Callithrix jacchus: one gene and its partner. The protein of the gene in region 1 purifies or fractionates together with the protein of each later gene. This does not show direct contact. Links are inferred from orthologs where the notes say so. Each region holds a gene or a part of one and is shown on either strand. Other genes may lie near its edges.

What was found. The genes of interacting proteins can lie anywhere in the genome.
Region 2: the proteins of DICER1 (region 1) and PRKRA purify together in Homo sapiens (co-immunoprecipitation; 4 studies listed by BioGRID and IntAct, with this or other methods). This does not show direct contact. The link is inferred for Callithrix jacchus from reciprocal best matches to the Homo sapiens genes DICER1 and PRKRA.

What each region holds. Positions count from the first base shown.
Region 1 is NC_133509.1:129,970,447-129,979,025, forward strand, and holds the start of DICER1 (endoribonuclease Dicer), read right to left. Parts: upstream 5,604-8,579; 5' UTR 5,444-5,603; exon of another isoform or gene 5,283-5,443; intron 1-5,282. UniProt on the Homo sapiens protein: Double-stranded RNA (dsRNA) endoribonuclease playing a central role in short dsRNA-mediated post-transcriptional gene silencing.
Region 2 is NC_133507.1:49,619,186-49,627,059, forward strand, and holds the end of PRKRA (interferon-inducible double-stranded RNA-dependent protein kinase activator A), read right to left. Parts: intron 6,918-7,874; coding exon 6,743-6,917; intron 2,770-6,742; coding exon 2,612-2,769; 3' UTR 2,283-2,611; downstream 1-2,282. UniProt on the Homo sapiens protein: Activates EIF2AK2/PKR in the absence of double-stranded RNA (dsRNA), leading to phosphorylation of EIF2S1/EFI2-alpha and inhibition of translation and induction of apoptosis.

The DNA of each region.
Region 1 (8,579 bases):
AAGCTCTTAAATGTCCAAAAGGCACAACAAAAGGTAAACAAAATAAGTCACTTGGCTCCAACTTTCTCTTTATACAAATTAAACAAAGACCTCACCAATATCTTCCTCTGGTATTCAATAAAGCATATCACTCCATGTTTGGTCAGTTTTTCGAATACCTACTTGCCAGACACTATGATAGGAACCAAGATCATAAAAATGAGTAAATCCTGAGCTTCAAAGAGATTACAGATTTTGCTGACACAAAGGAGCTGTTCGTAGGAAATCATCATTGTTTGGAAGAACACTGCGGAAACTCATACTGCAATAAATTCTGAGTCTAGTCTAGTGTTTTCATGATCAAGAAATAATGTGACAACTTTTAGATATATATCTAAAAGCAGGGAAAGCATGGACTCCAATGAATTATTTGTATACCTATGTTCACAGCACCAGTAGTCACAGTAGCCAAAAGATGTAAGCGACCCAAGCGGCCATGGACAAATGAATGGAAAAATAAAATGCGGTATATTCATACAATGAAACACGATTCAGCCTTTCCAAGGAAGGGAATTCTGACATCTACATCATAGATGAACCGTAGAGACACTATGCTGGGTGAAATAAGACAGACACAAAAGAATAAATACTGAATGATTCCACTTATTGGAGGTTTCTTGAGTAGTCAAAAACAGGAAGTAGAACGGTGGTTCCCTGGCACTGAAAATAGGATGGAATTAGTAGTGTTAATGAGCACAGTTTGAGTTAAGATGAAAAAGTAGATGGCTATTGGTAATAAATAAAAACAATGTGAATGTACTGTATGCCACCTAGTTGTACACTTAAAATGGTTCAACGTTATGTTATGCGTATTTTATCATGCCAAAAAAAAAACTATCTGAAATATTCTGATAACCATTCATTCACCTGAACATTTCAGGTTAGACACAACTTCATTCATTCCACAAGTCTTGACTGAGGACTCACTACCTGTGATCCAGAACTTCCCCCTGAAATCCATTTGGAACCGCAATGCAATGCAAAGAGTATGCCTGCAAGGATTCTGAAACCGAACCACGATTGGATCTCAGCTCTGTGACTTTGAGATTCCCAACTCAGAGTAATAATCACTGACTCTTAAGTTTCCTTGCCTGTAAAACAAGTACAATATTGAGTTGATCCCGGGGTCGCAATGAGGATTAAAATAGAATGTATGTAGAAGAACCTGAAACATCTTAGCATATAACAAGGAGGCACTTAATAACATGTTGCCCTAATCTCCTTTGCCATGAGTAGGTGGAAACTGCCATGACGTGGCAGGCTCACAAGTGAGAGAATGTCTACTAAATTTATCTACTTTCTCAAATGAAACAAGCACCACACGTGTCAGATAGTGGTAGAGGATAAAACATGTCAATGCCATAAAAGTCATCCTCTGTAGAAGGTAGCACTGCAAGTACTGTACAGCCCACTATATGACGCCACAAAATCACTGTCAAATAAGAATCATGAGCCACATCAAAAGAAAATGTCTTCTAAAACCAAGATAATAAAGCTCAATAAGAGCCCAAACAACCCAGTTACACAACACACACACTGAGCCAGAGGCAAAATACAGCAGTCAAGGCTTACCCTTCAAAGATAGGATGGAAGCACAAAAGGAAAAGCAGGCCCTTACTATAAAGAACAGTAGGAAGATGTCTTTTCTTAAAAGAGCATTTTGGTGCCATGAGTAAACCTATAAACCTATGTTACCATGATCGATGTTTATAGCAACCATCTTAAAATTTTTGGTTTTGAGGAATGATCCAAGATGGCTGATCACTAACATCTCAGGATTGCAGCTCCCAGTGAAAGCGCAGAGAACGGAGAACGCCACACTTCAGACAAATTTTTGTCCCTCACGGAGCAGAAGATTCCCAGTGGAGGAGCCGCACAGGCCACCAGCGCGACTCTTGTGGCCGGCGCGGCAGCTCTTGGTGCAGAGTAAACGGGACTGGTTCCCCTTCTGACCGACAGTTGGAGCTCAGGGAAGGCAGAGTCGCCTATTACGGACTCAAGAAGGAAGCCAGACTGGAGATTCCCGGGCAGAAAAGCACCATCAGTCTTAACCCCGCTGTTTTGGCCGGCGCAGTGGGTTGCTCATATTTCGGCCCTGGGAATTCACAACTTGGATGTCCACTCAGAGACCTAATTTGAAAGTTGGTAATTACAAAGATGACAGGTGGATAAATTTACAATGATGGGAAGAAACCAGCGTAAAAAGGCTGAGAATACTCAAAATCAGAATGCCTCTCCCTCTAAAGAGGATCACAGTTCCTCATCAACAAGGGAACAAGGCTTGATGGAGAACTAGCGCATCCCATTAACAGAATCAGGCTTCAAAAGATGGATAATAAGAAACTTCTGTGAGTTGAAAGAACATGTTGTAGCCCAATGTAAAGAAACTAAGAACTTTAAAAAAAAAGGTTTGACGAAATCCTAATGAGAATAGATAATTTAGAGAGGAATATAAGTGAGTTAATGGAACTGAAGAATACAATACGGGAACTCCGAGAAGTATGCACAGGTTTAAACACTCGAATTGATCAAGCAGAAGAAGGGATATCAGAGGTCGAAGTCCAACTTAATGAAATAAAATGAGAAGACAAGATTAGACAAAAAAGCATAAAAAGGAATGAGCAAAGTCTCCAAGAAATGTGGGACTATGTGAAAAGACCAAATTTATGTTTGATAGGTGTACCTGAATGCGATGGAGAGAATGAATCCAAGCTGGAAAATATTCTTCAGGATATTATTCAGGAAAATTTTCCTAAACTAGCAAAGCAGGACAATATTCAACCCCAGGTAATACAGAGAACACCACAAAGATATTCCTCAAGAAGATATTCCTCAAGAAGGCACATAATCATTAGATTCGCCAGGATTGAAGCAAAGGAGAAAATACTAAGGGCAGCCAGAGAGAAAGGTCAGGTTACCCACAAAGGGAAACCTATTAGACTTAGAGCAGATCTCTCAGCAGAAACTCTACAAGCCAGAAGAGAATGGGGGCCAATATTCAACATCCTTAAAGATCAGAACTTTCAGCCCAGAATTTCATATCCAGCCAAACTAAGCTTCAGAACTGAAGGAAAAATAAAATCTTTTATGAACAAGCAAGTACTCAGAGATTTTATTACCACCAGGCCTGCTTTACAAGAGCTTCTGAAAGAAGCATTACACATAGAAAGAAACAACCAGTATTAGCCTTTCTAAAAATGTACCAAAAAGTAAAGAGCAACGAATGGATAAAACAGCCAGTTAACATCAAATGGCAGTAATCCTAAATTTAAATCGACTAAATCCCCCAATCAAAAGATACAGCCAAAACCCAACGGTATGCTACATCCAGACCCATTTCACATGCAAGGATACACAAAGACTCAAAACAAAGGGATGGAGAAAGATCTACCAACCAAATGGAGAGCAAAAATAAATAAATAAATAAAAAGCAGGAGTTGCAATTCTTGTATCTGATAAAATAGATTTTAAAGCAACAAAGATATAGTGGTAAAAGGATCAATGCAACAGTGAGAGCTAATGATCCTAACACCCATATACATAGAGACTTAGACTCAATGAGACAGAAAATTAATAAGGATATCAAGGACTCGAACTCAGATCCAGAACAAGTAAACTTAATAAATATTTATAGAGCTCTCCACTTCAAATACACAAAATATACATTCTTGTCAATACCACATCACACCTACTCATAGGTTTAAATGAAATATTGATTGGCCATTATTAATACCCATTTTTTTTTTAGAATAAAGCAACATTTCCATTCTCTCTCCCTCTTTTTCTTCCTTTCTTCCTCTCCTTCACTTTTTTCCTTTCCTTCTCTAAAAAAAAACATAAATAAAAATAAAGTAAAATAAAATTTTTAGTTTTTTAATCTATTGAGTTTTAAGGAATATGCCCTAAAATGAAGCTTTGAAGTAACTGTGTATGTACTGTATGTATACAGCACATATTCCATATAATATACACGTCTCACAGGTGTTTTAAAGACTTTGCAAAATAAACTGGCTATTCCGGAACCTAATTCCCAAAGAAATCAGAAATATCCGAACTTACTATTCTCTAGGACCTGGCTTATCCCAAACCCATCTTTTAATAGACGTAGTTTTTTGGTTAGGATGCATATTTTTATTTAGAAAACTTAATGTTTACACCAATACATTTTCAATATAGCTAACCTGTTTTAAAAAGCACATTTTTAACAATATTTTCCGAGTTACTTAACTCCTAACCTGAGGCCTTTTCCACTAACTGAAAACAAGCGCCAGGGAAAATACCTGACAATCAGGACTACAAAGACTCATACTATTCGAAGACAGAAGCGCAGACGTCCAAGTGATCCTCTTTCATCAAATGAATGTTTGTAAAACCTGAAAGTCCTAAGAATACTTGAACTTATCGTGTAGATCAGAAACGTGTCCCTTTAACCACAACTCTCTCCACAAAAGCACTGAGTGAATTCTACAGACCAAGGACCCTCCACTCCTCTCCACGTTTCCGTGGATCACTCAGTGGTTTGCGAGCTCTGACCCCCAGGCAGAGCCGTCAGGGCAACTCAGCTTTTCTGGACAATCTACATAAACCTGATGTGCCAACTTAAAACATACACTGATTTCCCCAAAATCAAAAACCCTGAAGACTCCTCCTCGGGGTCTAGGCACAAAAACATCTGAGGGGAGGGGCAAAAGAATGGCCTCGGCCCCGGTCTCCCGGGCCCCGATCTGGTCCCCTGCCAGTAATCACACTGGACCCTCCTGGGGGGACCAAGAGCCAGGCTTCGTTCCCTGCGGGCACGGCGCAGCGGCCCGGTCAGAGAAGGGCCCGAGGGTGCTCCGGGTGGCCAGGCGCGCGGCTCCACCTCCGCTGCTCCCGTGCCACTTTCGCGCGCGTGACGGGACCTGTCAAGAGCCCCGGGGCCTCGCCAGGCAGGGAAGTGGGCGGGCGCCAGCATCCCCTGCCACGCTAAGGCGGCCCGGAAAGTCTCCCAGGGCTGCCTCGCGGGAAGGCGCCGGGGTCAGGGCCCAGGAGCAGAGCCACGGCGGGCAGACGCCGGGCCCACAGGCCGCACCGCGCGGGAGGACGAGGCAGGAGAGGCCGCGGTGTGTGCCAGCGGCCGCCAGGCCCGGACGCGCGGCTGGGGCCCAGGGCAGGCACGCGGGCCTCGGCGCGGAGGCGGGAGCGCGGCCGACTAGCAGCTCCCCGCCCCGGACACAAAGCTGCTCCGCGGGAGCCCGCCTCACCTGCAGCACGGGGCGCCACGGCCCTTCGAGAACCATCGGACCCCGCTCCGGCGCGCACGTCACAGCCCAGGCCTCCCGGAGCCGCCCGGCGCCGCCGCCCCCGCCGCCATTTCCTCGCGCTCGCCGTCGCCTCGTCCCCGCTGTCAGGTTACTCCATTCACCTGGGCCTGCAGCAGCCTGCGCCGCGCTCCGCCTCGACCCCTCCCGCCGGCGCCTGCGGAGACTGCGCAGCGCCCGGCTGGCCCGCAGCCCGCGCACGGCCCGCGGCAACGGCGCACAGCCGCTTGGAGAATCCCACCGGCGCCCGCGCCGCCCCTCCGTACACCCACGCTCCGCTCTCCCCGTGGCGGCATGAGAGCAAGCCTGTGATTGGACAAAGCGCGGCGGTGAAAGGTTAATCCCGGCCCTCCAGCCACTCAGGAGCAGGGAGACAGCGGGCGCGCGCGCGGAGGCGGAGGCGGTGTTTGCGGCCCAGCGCGGTGACTGGACCCTGCAGTTCTTGCCGCCGCGGCCGGGAGTCTTTGCGGCCCTCGGGAACCCGCGCGCCGAGGCTGCGGTGCCAGCTAAACTTGGCGGACGCCCCGGGCTCTCGGAATTCGACTGCCTCCATTGTTGCTCCTCCTGACACTCATAGACCGTAACGCGGCCGTAGTTGTTCCCCGGAGAGGTTAGCTCCCCTCTGACCACCTCCCTCCCGTCTTTAAAGGACCGTCCCACTGCCCTGCGCTTCCCCGCCTTAGTGGTGCGGGGGCCTCCGCATTTGTAGTTTGTGAAACTACAAACACCCGCTTTCGCTCCCACCCCAACTGGGATCCTCAGATAATGAGAAATAGACGGTGGCCCTGTGTATGTACACTGTCCATTTGCATAGGTCGGAACTGTCTACCACATCTTCTAGTAGGAATTATAAAATATCGGTGGGAGCTAAGGAAGCGGCTGGCTTAAAGAACATCGTCTTAATTTATGCCCAAATGTAGACATCTCTTCAGTGGACTCCGTGATGGGTCGGTTCGCTCCAGATGAGGTGTGGTGGGCTTGAGCGACCACGTTTGAGCCCTTGGGCGTGAGCAGAACCTACTGTGTGCCCGCGGTGCCTGGGCTGCACTTTCCAGTTTGGGGCCATCAGCCCCACGTGGCTCCTGAGCGCTTAAAGTATGGCTAGTCCGAATCGAGGTGTATGTGTTCTTTACCAAATCATGTTCAGCATCTCATTAATTATTCTATTGTTACATGTTGAAGTGACCAACTTTTTTTGATATATTGGGATAAAAGTTTCATTTTACTTTTTGTATTTTTTTAGTGTGGGTTCTACAAAATTGTAAATGCCATCTGTGGCCTGCATTATATTGCCATTGCGCAGGCTGACCTAGGGTTGTATGCCTGTGATCCTTATGTGCACCCTGTAAGGTAGGTGCTGTAACTGCTTTTTTTCTTTCTTTCTTTTTTTTTCAAATGGAGTCTCGCTCTGTCGCCAGGCTGGAATGCAGTGGCGCCATATGCAATCTACACCTCCTGTGTTCCAGCAATTCTCCTGCCTCAGCTTCCCAAAGTAGCTAAAATTGCAGGTGTGCACCACCACACCCAGCTAATTTTTGTATTTTCAGTAGAGGTGGGGTTTCACCATATTGCTCAAGCTGGTCTCGATCTCCTGACCTCGTGATCTGCCCGCCTCAGCCTCCCCAGAGTGCTGGGATCACACGCGTCAGCCACCGCGCCCAGCCTGCTTCCTGTTTTCACAGATGAAGAAAGGAATAACTTCCAGCAGGTAAGTACACAGTAAGTGAACAACTGAGATTGGAACCCAGGTAGTCCAGCTTTGAGGCTGGTGTGCTCAGTCATTACTGTGCTAAAATTTTGATAATGTATTTCCTATGAATTGGCCTGAAGTTTGACCTGAAGTAGCATATTCATAGGCAAAATTAGGGAGTAGTCAGGATTCTTCTGGCAGACCGATGTATCAAAAAATAGTTTCTTATATATCAAGCACTGTGAGCATGTCATACCTATAAGTCCCCAGTCATACATATAAGGCTTTCCGGAGATAATCCTTTATGAGAAGGACAGCATCTCACTGTGGGGGCAGGCACTGGGCTCTACCAGCAGTGGAAATTTGTGGGCTGGTACAACTCCAGCCCCTCTGGTTGTCCTCTCACAATATGTCAAGACTAGTCAGGCTTCTCCATCAGCAGGTCCATCTGATTTTTTATCAGTTTCAGTTCTTATTTTTAAAATAAGTAGTACATCCATATTGTTCATTTATTAGAAATTCTATGAGACACACAGTGGAAAAAGATCTCCCTCACACCAGTCCTCTGTCACAAGTAGGTGACTGCTGTTTCCTGCTCATTCTTCAAAATGTTTATGTATATGAGAATCACTCCTTGTGTTCCTTGTTTACAAAAATGCCAGCACACCATACATATTTACTCCACCTTGGTTTTTTTTAACTTAATATATCCAGAGGACATGTTTATTATAGCAATACGTACAGAGCTCCTTGATATTTTTTTCAACCCCCTTAACATTTTATTGCAGATATATCCATACCATAATTTACCAATTCTCTATTGATGGACACTTAGACTTTAAGTCTTTTACAATTAAATGTTGATCCATTTGGAAAAGATTTCATATATAGGGGGAGGTATGGATCCAATTAATTTTTTTGTCCAGATGGCTACACAGTTGTTTATTGAGTAGTTCACTTCTGGAAATGGCCTATCTATTCATGCTTCCCTCGCTGGTTTGTTTTAATTCCAGAGACATAAAACTCTGTAAGGGATATTGTTTCACACTTTGTTTGGATCACTAGAAATCTTAGAGCTAATATTTCAGCCCATGTATAGTATCATGTATATTTCAGCAACAGTATAGTATCATGTGGTATGCATTTTCTATGGGCTAATTTTTATTTTCCCTTAGCCCCAATTATTTCCACAGTTTGGTTTCTTTTTGTAGAACAAGCCGGGATTTAAATATACCTTTGTTTAAGACTCTCTGTTTGCAAGTAACAGAAACCAACCAGAACTAGCTCAATCAAAAAGGGAGAATTTATCCTAATGATGTAGGTGCTTCTCACAAAAGCCAGAAACAGGAATACAGCCACATCTTAGCAAAAACTGGAACCAGTAATTGGAAAGCTTTCAGGAACCCAAAAGGTACTCTCTGTGCCCCTCTGCTGTGATTGTTTTCTATGTATCTCTACTAACTTGTTCTGTCTGCTTTAACATCTGTATGGGAGAATATAGCCACTCCCATTTTGGACTGGGCTGTCAGCTCAGTGGGGAGTCTGAACCC
Region 2 (7,874 bases), on another chromosome or scaffold:
TATAGATCAAGTGCAGTACAAAGCTAACACTTCATTCCCACTCTCATGCCCATCCACCATTTTTATCTCAAATCTCTTCGTTCCCAGTAATTTAGTCTATTTTCAGGCCCCTGATCTCACAGCCAAGCCAGTTGCCATTGCCCATATATATTCTAACCCTGAGCCCCTTTCTACACAAATGGATGGCGAAGTATACTGCCTGAAGATCTGCCCTTTGGGAGGACTTTTCCTTACAGTTGATTTTCAAGGCCACCCCTGACAGAGTAATAAAGACACCATCTATTTTCAGTTTGCCAAAATATAAACATGTCGGTGAAGTTCATGCATTTTCCTCTTTCATCAACTGGTCATATGGGATCAGTGACAATAGATACAAGCCAAGGGAGAAACACCGGTGCAACAGTGGCAGATGACATGGGAGTCTAGGCTGCTTGCTAATGCAGTATACCGTGTCCTCTGCCTATGTTTGTGTTCTGCATGTATAGAACCCAGCTCATGATCAGTGGTCTTGGCTGCATGGCCACTTGGCATCCCTTCGTCAGGTGCTGTATCTCTATAAAAGCCCAGTAGCATATGAGCAGCTGTTTGACTAATTATATTGGTTAAGAACTTTAACAGAGGGCTAAACAAAATGGTGTTAAAGAATACACCTGATGGTCCAAGAAAATCCCTAACTCCCTAGAAAATGCGGATAATCTGAGAGGTGACACTGAAAAGTGTCTGTAAGAATGCATGTTCCTCCAGAGCCAGAAGCAGGAAAAGCAGAGGCAGCAGCAAGTTTATCTTCTGGGCACCTTATCCTGAGACCTCATTTTATCAATACATATGGACTGTCTACAACCAAGTGATATTATCCTTTTCTTCCACTGCCTTATGAAATCTTCCCCTAGTTTATCCAAGTCAGCATTTCACTATGCAGAAGAGTCAAATGTCATCTCTAGAGAGTTCATTTTGCTCCCTATATCCAAGACCATTTACTAAAACCTTGGTTCAATCTTTAAAAAGTCACAAGATCCTATTATGCCTAGCTTTGTTTCCAATCTTTTAAGTCTATTCCTTAACCTTGCCAAAAAAAGTACCTAAGTTTCTATGGTTTGACAAATGGAGCTTAGAATATGGAGCTATGTAAGTGCTCTTTAGAATTTAAAATAAGTTACATGTACTGGTTTTCCTTTATTTTGTAGTTTTGTTCTCAAAGAATTCCAGATATCATTTCTTTACAGGCAAAAATACCTTCTATATACTTCCTTCTGTATGAATACATGAGACCTACCTTCAAATTTCCTCTATGAAGCTTTCTCTGATCTCCAAACACAGGGCTGACACTTCCACTTAACTTAGAAAGCTAGCACGAGCTGGTACTGACAGGTGGGAAGACTTGAGATGTTACAAGAGGATATATGGAAACACGAAAGGTAAAATTAAAATCTGTTCATTAGACTTATTCCCTAACCTGTTAACCACTCTTCCCTTTAGAACATTTTTGCAATTGAGCAAGCTGGGAAGGTTTTTTGGGTAATTCTACTGATGCTTTTTTTTTTTTTTTTTTTTTTTGAGACAGGGTCTCACTCTGTCACCAAGGTTGGAGTGCAATGGTGTCATCCTGGCTCACTGCAGCCTTGATCTTCTGGGTCCAAGCAATCCTCCCACCTCAGCCTCCTAAGTACCTGGGACTAAAAGTGTGCCACCACACCTGACTGATTTTTTGATGGGGTCTCACTATGTTGCCCAGGCTGGTCTCAAACTTTTGGTTTCAAGGGATCTTCCCACCTTGGCCTTCCAAAGAGTTAGGATTAATAGCATGGGCCACTGTGCCTGGCCAAATGCTTTTTAAACTAATAATTCACCTGTGTATGGTTATGTCAAAGAAAAATACAAGGTTGCATAGGCTTAGAAAAAGTAAGGAAGTAACCCATTATATGTATGTTTGTAAATTTTGCTTAGGCCATTGTTTTTTATTTTCACCTTTGATTTTTAGAAGTAAATTAGAGCTATATAAATAACAGAATATCAACATTAAAATGTTATTCATAACAATGGCTAACAAGAACAGGGTGACAGTCAAGTCAGTAGCTTTTTAATAAAATGAGAATCCCATCATAACAGCTCTTTGTTACATGAATTCAAATACACAGCAGGCTAATCATGTTCCCTGAAATTTAACAATCATACTTAATAAAGGCCTGTTAGTGCTGTCCCTCAAGACTCTAATTCTAAAGGGCTTCCTCTGAATTCCCTTTACAAAGCTTTGTGCAAAGAAGAGCTTAAGCACCAGTAAGAAAGACTGTTGCTAGCATTTTTATTTCATTATCATCAAATACAAACATGCAGTTTCTTTCTCTGATGTGCATGGCACTGTAAAATGGGTGCTACACTCTGTCTTGTGGTACAAAGTTTATAAATACAATATACCGATACAAAGTTGAAGCCGTTAAAAAGAGCTTAATAACAACTACGAGGACAGAGTTAAATCTGGAGTGTTGATGGAATCTATGGAGTGATTTAAAAACAAGACATAAACTCAAACACTATGGTAAAAGTTTTTACTTGGGACGAGGCAAGAGGGGAACTTTTTATGTACTACTGAAGGATTTTTTAAGTTGCTCCAAGTTTACTTTCTTTCTGCTATTATCTTTAAATACTGCAAAGCATTGTGAGCTGCATCACTTTGTGCATTGCCACAGGAGATACCGGAGCCGTGACAGACCGTGATGGGGCTGGTGGACAGTTCAGCAAGACACTGATACTGTCCGTTGGCGCTCAGTTCTTCTGTAATGACACATTCAAGCACGATGGTTAATGTCAAATATGTATAAAGTAGATCCCTTTGTAAAAACAATTCTTATTTTCTTTTTAAGCATTCACTTGAAATCTTTGTTTTGCTTGTACAAACAAAAAACCACAACTGCTCAGCTGTAGCAGTTTTCAAACATACTGTATTTCATAATCATCTGACAACTTTAAAGAAATACAGATATTTAGGCTGCACTCTAGCTCACTCAATCAGAAACATAGGGTTGGGGGTGGCTGATTCCTACATTTAAAAAAGAAGAAAGCTCCCAAGGCAATTCTAATATGGTTAGTGGAACAGTGTTTGGAAATTACCGAACCACAGTAACTTTCTCAAAAGACAAAGAACCATGTGCTAGAGGACTGGAGAGACTGTATTTTCCACTAGGGTCATTTTCAGGAGGCATTTGAACCAGGAATAACTTGGGTCAAGGCAAAACCTTCCCTGTGCCTCCCTTGTGTCTATTAGAAAAAAAAGTTTTAATTGATGCATAATAATTGTATGTATTTATGGAGTTGTCCGTTCATGTTGGTAGGTTTTGAGTCTGTGCAGAGTGTAGTTCTTTATACTGTAAATGGGTCACGGTGTTTTAAAAACAATACCTGACCCAGGAAACAAATGCTCTTCCCATCAACTGATGAGTCACTCTTACTAAAGATGACTGAAATGAGGGCAAGGGGGAAGAAGTAGAAACGTGTGGTATGATTTAAAGTAGGCATAATAAAAATGTTAATTTTGATATTCCATTTAGTGGAAAATATCCAGAAACAATGGGATTATTTAATGAGTGAAAAGGCTTTCTAGTTCTAGTATCTAGGTTATTTTATTTTCTTAGAAAAATTAATCATTTTAAAGTAAGCACTTCAGTGATATTTCCTATTTGCAATGTGCACAACCACCATCTCTATCTAGTTCCAAAATATTTTCATCACCCCAAGCGGAACCTCATTCACATTTAGCAGAGGGTCCTTATTCTCCCGACCCTCCAGCCCCTGCTTGAGGTTCATCCATGTTGCAGCATATAACAGAACTTCATTTCTTTTTACTGGCTGAATAATATTTCATTGGAAGGAGAGTCCACAATTTGTTTATATTCACTGATGGACATTTGGGCCTGTTTCCACCTTTTGGCTTTTGTAAATAGTGCTGCTACGAATATACAAATATCTGTGTGTATAGGCGTTTGTTTAAACACCAGTTTTTGTTTATACCGCTAAGTAGTGGAGTTGATGGGTCACATGGCAATTCATTTGAGGAACTGAGAAGCTTTTTCCACGGAGGCTGAACTGCTTTATATTACCACAAACAATGTATAAGGTTCCAATTTCTCTACATCCTCACCAACACTTGCTATTTTCCACTTCCTTAATTATAGCCATCCTAGTGGATATGAAGGGTTATCTTACTGTGGTTTTGATTTGCATTTCTCTATTGACTAATGATCTTGAGCATCTTTTCATGTGTTTTTTGGTCATTTGTACATTTTCATTTTATTTTAAAATTTTGAGACAGGATCTTGTTATGTTGTCCAGGCTGGTCTCAAACTCCTGGGTTCGAGTGATCCTCAGGCCCAGTCTCCCAAAGGGCTGGGATTACAGGTGTTAGCCATTGTGCTCAGACCATTTGTGTCTCTCCTTTGGAGAATATCTAGGTTCTTTTAAAGAGAACTGCATGAAACTAGCCAAATTAACAGACTGTGGCTTTTAGACTGCTTTCCATATGTGTAAGAACTATTTAGTTCTCAAAAGTAGGAAGAAATGTTTCAAAAGCATCATTAATTCATAATCTAAAAATGTATTTCAGGTTTCCTTTTTTCCCTAGATTCTGTATCCTTCCTAGTCCTATTCATGACATGGCTCGTTCATCTCTGTATTCTAAACCCGCAGCAGATTGCAGACACTAATAAATATTCATTGGATGAATGGTCTCTCATCAGCCACCTTTTCTTTCTTTCTTTATTTTTGAGATGGAGTTTCACTCTGTTTCCTGGGATGGAGTGCAGTGGCATGATCTCGGTTCACTGTAACCTCCGACTCCTGGGTTCAAGCTGTTCTCCCACCTAAGCCTCCTGAGTAGCTGGGATTACAGATGCATGCCAACATGCCTGGCTAAGTTTTGTATTTTTAGTAGAGATGGGATTTCACCATGTTAGTCAGGCTGGTCTCAAACTTCTGACCATAGGTTATCCACCTATGTATGGTCAGACACGGGCGTGCCTTGGCCTCCCAAAGTGCTGGATGCCTGACCTCTTTTAGTTCTTTTTTTTTTTTTTTTTTTTTTTTTTTTGAGACAAGGTCTCACTCTGTCACCCAGGCTGGAGAGCAGTGGCATGATCATGGCTCACTGCTGCCTCAACCTCAGGGGCTTGAGTGATCATTCCCACCTCAGCCTCCCTCGTAACCAGGACTACAGGCATGTACCACCATGCCCAGCTAATTTTTCATTAGACACCTTTTCTAACCATCTGTTTGCACTGACTTCCCAGGTTTTACATCATTCTTGGTTTACTAAGACAATGCACTTAACCCATCCTTCAATCCCAGAGTAGCAGAGATTATCAGAAGTTCTTTAAGCCTAAGTGCCCTACTTTCCCAGGACCAGGGGGCCCTAACAAGCAAGGTCCCCACATCTCACTGTGGTTGGATAGGGATATAAAATTTCTCACACATTATACTGATGTTAAATCAAGATACCTTGGCCAGGCATGGTGGTTCACACCTGTAATCCAGCACTTTGGGAGGCCGAGGTGGGCGGATCACTTGAGGTCAGGAGTTCAAGATCAGCCTGGCCAACATTGTGAAACCCCGTCTCTACTAAAAAGAAAAAATTACTTTTGGGAGGCTGAGGTGGACGGATCATGAGGTCAGGAGTTCTAGACAAGCCTGGCTAACATGGTGAAACTGTCTCTACTAAAAATACAAAAATTAGCTGGGCGTGGTGGTGCATGCCTGTAGTCCCAGCTACTCAGGAGGCTGAGGCAGAAGAATTTCTTGAACCTGGGAGGGAGAGGTTGCAATGAGCCGAGATCATGCCAGTCCAACTCCGGCCTGGGCAACAGAGCAAGACTCCATCTTGGGGGAAAAAAAATACAAAAATTAGCCAGGTGTGGTGGTGGGTGCCTGTAATCCCAGCTACTTGGGAGGCTGAAGCAGGAGAATTGCTTGAACCCAGGAGGCAGAGGTTGCAGTGAGCCGAGATTGTGCCACTGCACTCCAGCCTGGGCAACAGAGCAAGAGTCTATCTCAAAAAAGAAAAATAAATAAAGATACAAAACATTGAATTAAAAGAAAATCCATACTGACTTGCTTTTCCCTCTGTCCATATTTGTCTATCCAAATGATTAAGGGCTACAGAAAATACAGATGATGATGGCTAGGATGAGATTAAACTATAAATTGACTTGTCTCCACTTACCTCCCAGAATTGGCATACAGTGACCAAGTAGAGAGAAAAGGTCTGGGCACCACAAAGTTGGTACTTGTGCTAGGAATCTGGGTGCCTTTTCATTTGCCCAGCAGCCCATCTGGGCTAGTTTAACAGCCAGGGAATCTGCGGGGACTCTCCCCCTAATCTTGCTCTACCACTGACTAGCTATGTGATCTTCAGCAAGTTTCTCAACCTTTCTGTGCCTTTCTTTCTTCACTTATAAATAAGGGTAAGAGAACTTGCTTCATAGAGTTAGTCTGAAGATTCAGTGAGTAGATACATGTGATCTCCTTAGAACAGTGCCTGGCACATAGTAAAATTCTATCTTTGCTATTATAACTATAGATGTTAGCTATTATTACTGTCCATAAGAATGGGACATATCAATTACATACATTATTGGCCTAGTAATTATATATACTTAGAATCCCTGATCAATAAAATACATTATAATAAATTTTTGTTTCTCAAACACACTTTTAAATGAACATGTCTTAGGAAAGCCAAAGAAAAATAAAATCATACCTATATCCAAATATGTTATATTAAAACCTTGTTCCTTGGCAATTTCACTAAGCAGCTGGATGTAATCTGTATTTGGAATACTAAGGAGACTTCTTTTCAGTAAGTTGATCTTTTCACCAGGAGAATTCCTCAAGGAATGCCAAGTACATCCTAAAGAATGTCCTACTACATTTGTCTGAAAAACAGAGATAAAGATTTAGACTCTTAACTAGGACTGGGTTCCAACAACAGTACCAGTATAATTAAACGTACTTATTAAGCACATTTAATATGTTAGACAACATTAAAAAGCACGCATTTAGGAAATACTACAATATATTAGAAGCACTTGCAATAATACACTGAAAGTATTTTGTATTTTGTATAGTACAAATGTTTCTCAGTCAAATTTTCTGATGGTCACATTAAGAGGTACAAGATATTTGGGAGCATTAATCCACAAATAATTATATCTGCCTAATGGGGCAATTTGCAGATTAAAATATTAAACAATTTTCATCTTTTTTAAAATTAAATACCAATCACTGTAACTGACAGCTATAAAGCAGAAAACAAACAAACAAACAAAATGTAAAAAAACCATGAAATGTGCAAGTTGGGTTTGAGGAACAAGTCATTCAAATAAATGGCAGGATATCAAAAAGTTCTTATCAGACTTCTATCCTAGAACTCCACTGAGTATTTTTTCCTTTTTCTTTCTGCTTTTCCTCTTTTCTTTATTCTCTCCTATTTCCTTCCCTTTTCATCTCTGTCCTTAAAATTCCTTATATTTCCTTAAGTTTACGGTTCTCAAATTGCTTTCACAGGCCATTAATAAAAACAACTACTTTCTGAAGTAAGTAGGACTACTACTTTTTTTTTGTATGGAGTCTCGCTCTGTCCCACAGGCTGGAGTGGAGTGGTGCAATCTTGGCTCCCTGCAACCTCTGCCTCCCGGGTTCCAGCAATTCTCTTGCTCAGCCTCCAGAGGAGCTGGGACTATAAGTGCACACCACTAAGCCTAATTTTTTGTATTTTTTTTAGTAGAGACAGGGTTTCACTGGGTTGCCCAGGCTGGTTGTGAACTCCTGAGCTCAGGCAATCTGCCCACCTCAGGCTCCTAAATTACTGGCATTACAGATTTGAGCCACTG